Linked DNA regions of Mus musculus. The protein of the gene in region 2 interacts with the protein of the main gene of each other region in a biochemical or structural test. Links are inferred from orthologs where the notes say so. Each region holds a gene or a part of one and is shown on either strand. Other genes may lie near its edges.

Region 1 (4,166 bases), on a different chromosome or scaffold from region 2:
CCCAGGATAGCCCCAAACTCATGATCCTCTTGCCTCAGTTTATTGAATGCTGGGATTACAACTTATAACACCATGCAAGGGTGAACTGGCTACATACCCAGGCTAACCTCAAACTTGCAGTTCTGCCTAAGTCTCCCAAGTGTGGGATGGCAGGCATCCATCACCTTACTAGGCATATTTTCTTTTAATTTATTATTATAGTGTGAGTATGGACTTGTGTTTGAAACGGAAGGGTGAAGAAGCTGGGGGAGGGGGGATGGCTTTCAGGAATCCCGTCTCTCCTTCCACTATGAGATCCAGGGACAGAACTCAGGTGGTCAGGTTTGTGCAGCCAGGAAATAAAGTGTTATTTCTTTTTTAAAAAATTAAATAGAATTGGGAGGGGCCAGTCAGATGGCTTGGCAGGTAAAGGCACTTACTGCCAATCCTGATCACCTGACTTAGATCTCCAGAACTCACCTGGTGGAGGGAAGTGACTCCTGCAAAGTGCCCTGTCACCTCCACACATGCGCACACAACAAATGCATGTTTCGTTTTTTTTAAGTAATAATAAAAAATAAATGTTCTGAAGTGCTGGGGCTTGAACTCAGGTCTTGTATGCTGGCTAAGCACTTTGCCAAAGCTGCTCCCAGCCCATAAAGGATGTCTAAGGTAGGATGGCGCATCCTCTGAGACTGGTTAGACAGAGGCTGTGCTGGCAAGGGGCCACGTGAATTTATTTGCAACATCTGGCAATCAACAATCCACTCCTGGGCCTCATCTCACTCCTGGAACCCCAGAATCCCACCGTCCATAAAGCGTGTGTGTGTGTGTGTGTGTGTGTGCACAGATGCATGGGTGTTCCCGCAGGCTAGGGGACAGCCTGGATTGCAGTTCCTCAGGTGCTATCAACCTTGCTCACTCACCAAATACGTGGCTGGCTGGCTGACTAGCAAACCCCAGGGATTCACCTGTCTCCTCCCTAGCATTAAAAGTGCAGGTACATGCCACCATGCCAGGCTTTTTACCTTGGTTCTGGAGAGCAAATCTGGACCCTCCTGCTCGCCAGGCAAGCACTGTATGGACTGAGCCATCTCCCTTCAGGGTCCACACCCACCTTCTCCTTGGAACACCAGATTTCAAAAGCTGCAAGGTTAACTTCCCCGCGGCTCTCACCTCCTCTTCACTGAAGAGCTGGCACCAAACTGTCCCTTCTTGATGAAAGCACCAGATCCTCAGAAGCAATAACTTGTCTGAGCTCCCATCTTGATAGGAACAGCAAACAAGAACCCGGCAAATCTGAGGCCTTGCTGACTCAGCCACACCGATTCCGAGGTACCTTTGCCAAAAAGATGATTAAGTCTTCAGTGAAGAATCGGCAAGAGAAAATGAGCGCACAGATGTTGGGTCCCGTGTGCTGTGGCTGGCAACTGGAAATTACCAGGCTTATTTTCCAACAGCTTGGGCAGGGAGCAGAAGCTAGGGACAGTCTTTCTCAGCCCACTCAATTAAACCCTTTCTCAGAAAAGTCTGCGTGAGGACTTCAGAAACCGGTCCCACGGATGGTCCATGAAGGAAATCAACACACCAGAGAGGATAAAAATTTGACCAAAGTCACACAGAAAATAAGCAAAGAGACTTGACACCTTGACCAACTGAAGTCAATCCTGATTCTCGTGGCTACTGGGAACTCTACATCACAGAACTGTTACTTTTGGGTTGTTGGGGGTTTTTTTGTTTTGTTTTGTTTTAAGCAGGGGCCACAGTATATAGCTTAGGGCTGGACTGGAACTCCTGAGTCTCCAGCTTCTGCCTCACAAGTGCTGAAATTACAGTCATAAATCACCACACCTGGCTAGCACTCTTTTGGGGAGTGAGAGGGATGTAATATAGTATCTTGTGATGAAGCACAGGCAAGCTTTAGCTACCCGCAAACCTTTGTCTCCCAAATACTGGGATTATAAATGTGCAACACATTGCTGGGCTCTCTAGAATTTTAAAGGGGCTAAGACGGCACGGAGAAAAGAGAGTTCATTAAAGGTCTTGCCTGTGAACACATTCCCATTCATGCCACTGTGGAGGCAAAGCTAACGCGGGCAACCCTGCAGCTGTGTGAGGGATAGGATGAAAAGCGGAGCTTCAAAACAGAGACACCCCAAAGTGCCCCAGAGACCCAGTCTGACACAGACCGAGAATGGAAAGGCAAACGCCTCCAAAGTCCAACTCTCTCAGACAGTGGTGGATCCCTATCGCCTGGATGTAACGCCCCCACACACACACAAACGCTCCAGGACTGAAACTGACCCCTCAGGGAGCCAGGGTAGCAATAGCCTCACTGCTCTTCCAGGTCCTGTAGGACTCAAACTGCCAGGGATGCGACCCCTGTCTCTGCAAAAAATAGGGCTCTTACCACACCCAGCCCAGTCCCCAACGCTCAGAGCGTCCCAACTGCGACTTCCCGCCTCCAGGACCCTGGTACCGAGGTGCCCAGGGCTCCCAACGCCCCCAGGACTCACCCATCCCGCCGGCACGGCCCTCCCTCCTCGCACGACCGCCCCCTTCCGGTCTCAGCTTGGCTCAATAGCCCCCTCTCCTCAACCCACCCACCCACCCTCGGGACCCCAGGCTGGGCGCCAGCAGGTGGCCCGCCCGTCCCGCTCACCGAGTCTGAGGGAAGCAGAAGGAACAGGTTGAGAGGACCGCCGACCTCCGGGCTCAGCTCCGGCTCGGCCTGGGAAGAACCCTCGAGTATGTCTCCGACTCCGAGCCGGAGGCAGCCGGAGTGAAACTCGGCGTCGCAGCCTCCAAGCACCGCGCTGCGCATGTCCACCTCACGCAGTGCCTTCTGGGAAATGTAGTTCTGATGAAGCTGAGTGGGCTGAACCAAAGCACACCAGCAGATATAAATGTACCCAGCCTTCTCTTTCTCCTACTGACTTACTCCCTCGCTAATCACTGATGCATTTGATTTTTAATAATTTTTATATTTCTTTTTATTATGTGTGTATATTCTGGAGGGGGGTGTACTTACAGAGGTCAAAGAACAACTTTAGGAGTCCGTTCTCCGTGTCCACCTTCACGTGGGTTCCACGGATCGAACTCAAGGTGTCAGGCTTGTCAGCAAATGCCTTTACCCTCTGAGCCCTATCGCCAACCCTGATTTTTCCTTTTGTGGTGTTGAGGATCAAAGTTAATGCAAGCACAGTAGACAAGTGTTCTACTACTAATTAATCCCCAGCTATAAGAGTCCACTTGTAGGGGTGGAAGGGGTCCAGGATCTCATGTACCTCGGAGTGGCTTTGAATTTGTGATGTAAGCCTAGGCTGCTCTTAAACTCTTGAACCTCCTGCCTCTGCTTCCTAATTGCTGAGCTTACAAGCACAGTCTTTAAAAACATAGATTTAAAATTTTTAAATAAGAAAAGAATCTATTAAAAAATGTTAAGCCGGGCGTGGTGGCGCATGCCTTTAATCCCAGCACTCAGGAGGCAGAGGCAGGCAGATTTCTGAGTTCGAGGCCAGCCTGGTCTACAAAGTGAGTTCCAGGACAGCCAGGGCTACACAGAGAAACCCTGTCTCGAAAAACAAACAAACAAACAAAAAACAAAAAACAAAAAAAAAAGTTAAACCTTGGCTTAAGTTGGCCTGGCTCAGTGGTAGAGCACTTATCTATCGAGTAGGCAGAAGACCCTGGATTTGCAAAAGAAGTCCTTAAAATTCCACTTCACAGAGCCTGTTCCATTCCCAGAACCTGCTCCCGGCTCACCAAGCAGAAAAGATGAACACAGCTAGAGAAGTCAAGGAGGCCTGGCCTCAGCAGTGTCACTGAGGAGCAGGGGTGCTTGCTACTGTTTTGCTTGGAAAGGCAGAATTGTGTTGCTTCCTGCCTCTGCTAATTGGTCTCCATCTGACACTGCAGAGGGACAGTCTGATAAGACACAGCTGCTTTGCTCATTATTTCTGATGAATGGATGGCACCTGGCATTTCCTAGTGCCGATGGTAGCCACCAAGGACCCACGTATAATCTATACAGCCAGAAAGATCTTAATGACTTCACAGCCCAAAGAAAACGTGTCTGTCCCCAAAAGCTCTACATAAGTCCCTCCTAGTGGAAGTAGGGGGATTTTTTGTTTATTTGTTTTGGAGACAGGGTGTCTTAGCACCTGGCTTCAGAGATGGCCTGCAAC
Region 2 (4,268 bases):
ACCTATGGTCCTCTAGGGAGTCCCTGTCTCTAACTCCTGTCTCCCCACAGGAATGCCAGGGTTACAGATGGAACACAGCACTGCACCTGGCTTTTATGAAGGTTCTAGGGATTCGAACTTAGATCTCCATGCTTGCATTGTAAGCATTCACTCTTCTCCCCATCCGTTTCTGGGTTTTGATAAGACCAAGGCAGCCCGCTGAATGTGACAGACTCTGGCTCCCTAGCCAGTGCTGGCACTGCAGGCGCTGCAGGCAGAAGGCTTGTTCCCTGTTACCACATCCCTAACTGTCTTTCTGTTGAACTCATACAGGAATTGCCAGGAGGGCAGCACAGGCTGCAGCCAGCCTACTGCCCAGGGGAATATTCAGAGTTCTCTGCTTCTGTCTTCCTGAGGTCACCTAATAGGAAACTGCAAGCGTTCGGAGCATGCATTGAGAGGAGAGTAAGCCAGGAATTTTCATTCAAAGATGGCTTCCTTAGCTTGTTGGCTGCCGGGAGGAAACACAGCCAGTGAGCAGCTGGTGGCTTCTCACCAGGGGCCCCTGGGGCTGCTGTCTCTGCCTAACTCTCTGCAGGACACTGGATGATACATGACTCAGACCTGTCCCCATGAGTCAACCTCACTCAGACCTCACTCAGATTTCTCTGTCACCAGCAAGGGAGTGCTTGGAAGCCCTTAATTTAAAGCTTGAAATTGGTTAATGACTTACTTTTTTTCCTCTTCTCTTTAAATCCTGATGCACCCCCCCCAAACCTACAAACACATGTGCCACCACACACACACACACACACACACACACACCACATATATACCACATACACATAGACACATACCACATCTCATTCACACACACACACACACCACACACACATATATACATACCATACCACACACACACATATACACACCACACCACACACACATACACACATCCCCCACACATGTACCACACACACATAGGCATACACACACACCACACACACACATATACCACATACACATAGACACATACCACATCCCACACATACACACACACACACCACACATATACATACCACTCCATGCACACACATACACACACACACACATACACACATACCACACACACACATACATACCACACACACACACACATATATACCACACACACATACATACACACACCACATATATACATACACACACACACACACACACACACCTTCCTCCAGTTTTCACGTTTCAGCATAGATGAACCATCACAACCTCAATAGCCTTTGTTGTGACAAAGTCGCCAGCAAGCCCTCGAATTCCCCTACTCATTTGGCTGTATGAATAAATAATGATTCACAGATACTGGCTGGGTGTGCACATAATTTGTATCCAGAAAACAAATGATTTCTTCCCCATCCCATCCCACTCCATTTTAGCTCTGCCAGAGCATCATACCACAAGCTACACGTCCTGATACACGGCCACGTCTTTGTGAGCTCTTTATGCCACTGTTTTTCTTTACTTAAGCTCAGTCCTCATCCTGAAAGACCCACCAAGCCCACATGGGCACTATGGCTGAACTCCAGCATTGTAAGTTCCATAAGGCCGCTGTAAAAAATGCAGGAAGGTTCAGGGACCTACGTGGTGCCAACCCATAAGTCTGTAATCTAGTAATTTCTGCTGTGACAGTGCGTGGACTTAGGAAATGGCTTCATAGTTCTTTCTGAGAGAGACTGTGTACCACAACTTGCTGGCTTTCTGTCTTGAGCAATGCCGGCTGCCTCTTTCAATTGAGGCTGAAAGAAAAACCACAGCACAACACAGCATCTTCTGATGGCTTTTCCCAGAACGAGTCTGCCCAAATCCTGCCCTCTGTGGACTTGCCACTTTGGCCCTGAAATCTCCGCACTGATCCAAGGTATACCTGTGAGCTGCCTCTCGGAGACCACTCTGCTGGCACCGGCTCTTCCGGCCAGCTAAGTACTGAGCCTGCTAAACCCAGGGGCAAGCCAAACTCAGAACCAGGGCCAGACAGCTTGCTGCCATCAGAGTAAGTGCAAGCGAATCATTCAGAGCAAGGCACAGCCAGATAAAACCCAAAGAGTGTCCTCCGCGCCAGCCTTCTAATCTCTGGGACTTTAACTGAGAGCGGCTCAGAGCACTTGACACAACTTTCACCCAGCGACCAAATATTTCAACAGCCTAAGCATTTATTAAAACATCCCCGCAGCACGGCGTCTGACAAATAATAATCTCGTGGTCTCAGAGTCAACAGCCTCTGTTTGAATTCCTCCCCCCACAAGCAGGCAGGGACTTCAGGCAGGCACCGGAGGGTCCACGGGCTGCCATCTTAGTCTGCGCAAAGCTGAGCAAAATCAGATATAAAAAAGACCAGCGTACTCACCTCTCATGAAGCACTGTGGATATGAAGGAAATGACTCAAAAATGCTGTCTGAAGCCATCGTTTCCTTTCGAAAACGCACCTCTCCTGAAGGCGGGGGATTCTATAATTTCTTTCACCTTCAGAGCAAAAACCAAGAAATGTCACTTACTCTGACCTCACCTCCCACCATGGCTCCCCACGTCTCTTTCTACCCCCAACCCTAACACTTCTGGTACTCCATGGGTCCTATGGGGTGGGGGTGGGGGAAAGAATTATTGCAGAAACAAATATTCAAATTGTTAAAGATTAAAAAAAGGAAAAAAAAAAGACGAAAGCACCGCCTATGCTGTGGGTTGAACTGCTCACCGCTCTGCGAAAGCCTGTGGTTTGCATTCAGTGTGATTCGTCCTGCCTGCTGACCACTGTGCTGGGCTTACACTTCTGACACTGCCAGGCTACCCAACTTGTGGTTCTGTGGTTGTTTATGAGGTCCAAAGAAGTTTTCACACAACCCAAATTACAAATTTAACTGTTCCCCTTTCCACAGCCCACCGCCATTGGCTCTTGCCAATCACGTGACTTAAGTGATGTCAATTTTTTTTTTTTAAACTTTCTGAGCTATGCCCTTCCTGCCCTCCACCTGCCCTCCCCCAGGCTGTGTAAGGAAACAGTTGAGCAGAGCTTAGCAGAGAGGGGCTGTAAGAGAAAAAAAAGCACAACAAACAAGCAAACAGAAATCCCCTGCCTCAGTCTTTTCTTGCTCTCTCTGTCCTGTGCGGATTTGGTGGCTTTCAGATCCTGTTGTTATTTGTGGTTTGAGGAACAACTGATTATTTAGATAAAGATTGCCTTGCTGTTTATTCAACAGCAATTCAACGTTGGCACCAACTTGCTGCTGAGCCCGGATGCGGCTCTCATCACTTAAATGCTGGGCACCAGCTCGGGAGAGCTGGGTTCTTGGTGAAAGCAAGTGAGACAGAAAAGTTAGAAAAGAAGACCAAGAGCCCTTTTCCGTGAGTGGCTGATCCTGGGAGGGCTAGGCTGGCAACCTACTGACATCTCAAAGCTTGGGAACAGTATGACACGTTTTAATTGTGGGATGAAAAGACCACTTTGATCAAAACCCAAATGATGTTGTCCTTGGCTTTCCCCTTGGCGGATAGGCTTAGCATGGACATCTCTTGGTAAGTAGAGGAAACAGTGGCGTTCTCTTCACACTGGCACCAGTTCCCACGCTCGCTTGCATTAGGAAGTTTTGTGGAGAGCAAAGGAGGAGAATTTCCTCACTCAGCAGAGCTGTGGCCTGTGGGCAGCTATCTGTTCATTGTTTGTACCAATAAAGCCTACTGGTAGCCTTTCCGAGCTCCACTCAAAGAAATGGGCCAAGTCACCCTGCTAGGGATAATTACTCTTTGAATCCATGAAGAGTAACTTGTGACTACCCAAGATCCTGCCTCCTCCTGGCCAGCCCCCGGAGGGGGATATTACACAGCCCTTCAGCCTCCAGAAGTCACATGGTCAGGGGACAGACAATAAAGACAAGATGATTCTGTGGGTGTGAGCTCTTCTGTTCACCTCCACCTATTGACCTCTTCGTTCTATCTGTTTTACTTGCTGAGAAGTGAAGCCTTAGTCTTCCTGGGATCCCCAGGCAGGGCCTGGCCTTCCTTTCCTTACTTGGGTCTTCCTTTTCCTCTGTTCAGTTTCCCTCCATTTCGAGGTGATGCCCGATGAGAGGCTGGGCCTTGAGCAGCGTAGCTCCAAGTGCCAGCCCTGGGTCCCAAATTCCAGGCATGCAAGGTACTTCTCTAAGTCTGAGCCCCAGAGGGAACTCTCATTTGGTTTTCATGGAGATAATTTTGCACACACAGTAGAGACCCAGGGTATTAATGATACAGGTCTTTCCAAA

The links.
Region 1: the proteins of Runx1 (region 2) and Dtx2 form a complex in vitro, tested with the Homo sapiens proteins (2 studies listed by BioGRID, with this or other methods). The link is inferred for Mus musculus from reciprocal best matches to the Homo sapiens genes RUNX1 and DTX2.

What each region holds. Positions count from the first base shown.
Region 1 is NC_000071.6:135,993,442-135,997,607, reverse strand, and holds the start of Dtx2 (probable E3 ubiquitin-protein ligase DTX2), read right to left. Parts: upstream 2,809-4,166; 5' UTR 2,642-2,808; intron 2,522-2,641; exon of another isoform or gene 2,284-2,521; intron 1,319-2,283; 5' UTR 1,156-1,318; exon of another isoform or gene 1,008-1,155; intron 1-1,007. UniProt on the Homo sapiens protein: Regulator of Notch signaling, a signaling pathway involved in cell-cell communications that regulates a broad spectrum of cell-fate determinations.
Region 2 is NC_000082.6:92,823,209-92,827,476, forward strand, and holds the start of Runx1 (runt-related transcription factor 1), read right to left. Parts: upstream 2,867-4,268; 5' UTR 2,726-2,866; intron 2,497-2,725; 5' UTR 2,439-2,496; coding exon 2,381-2,438; intron 1-2,380.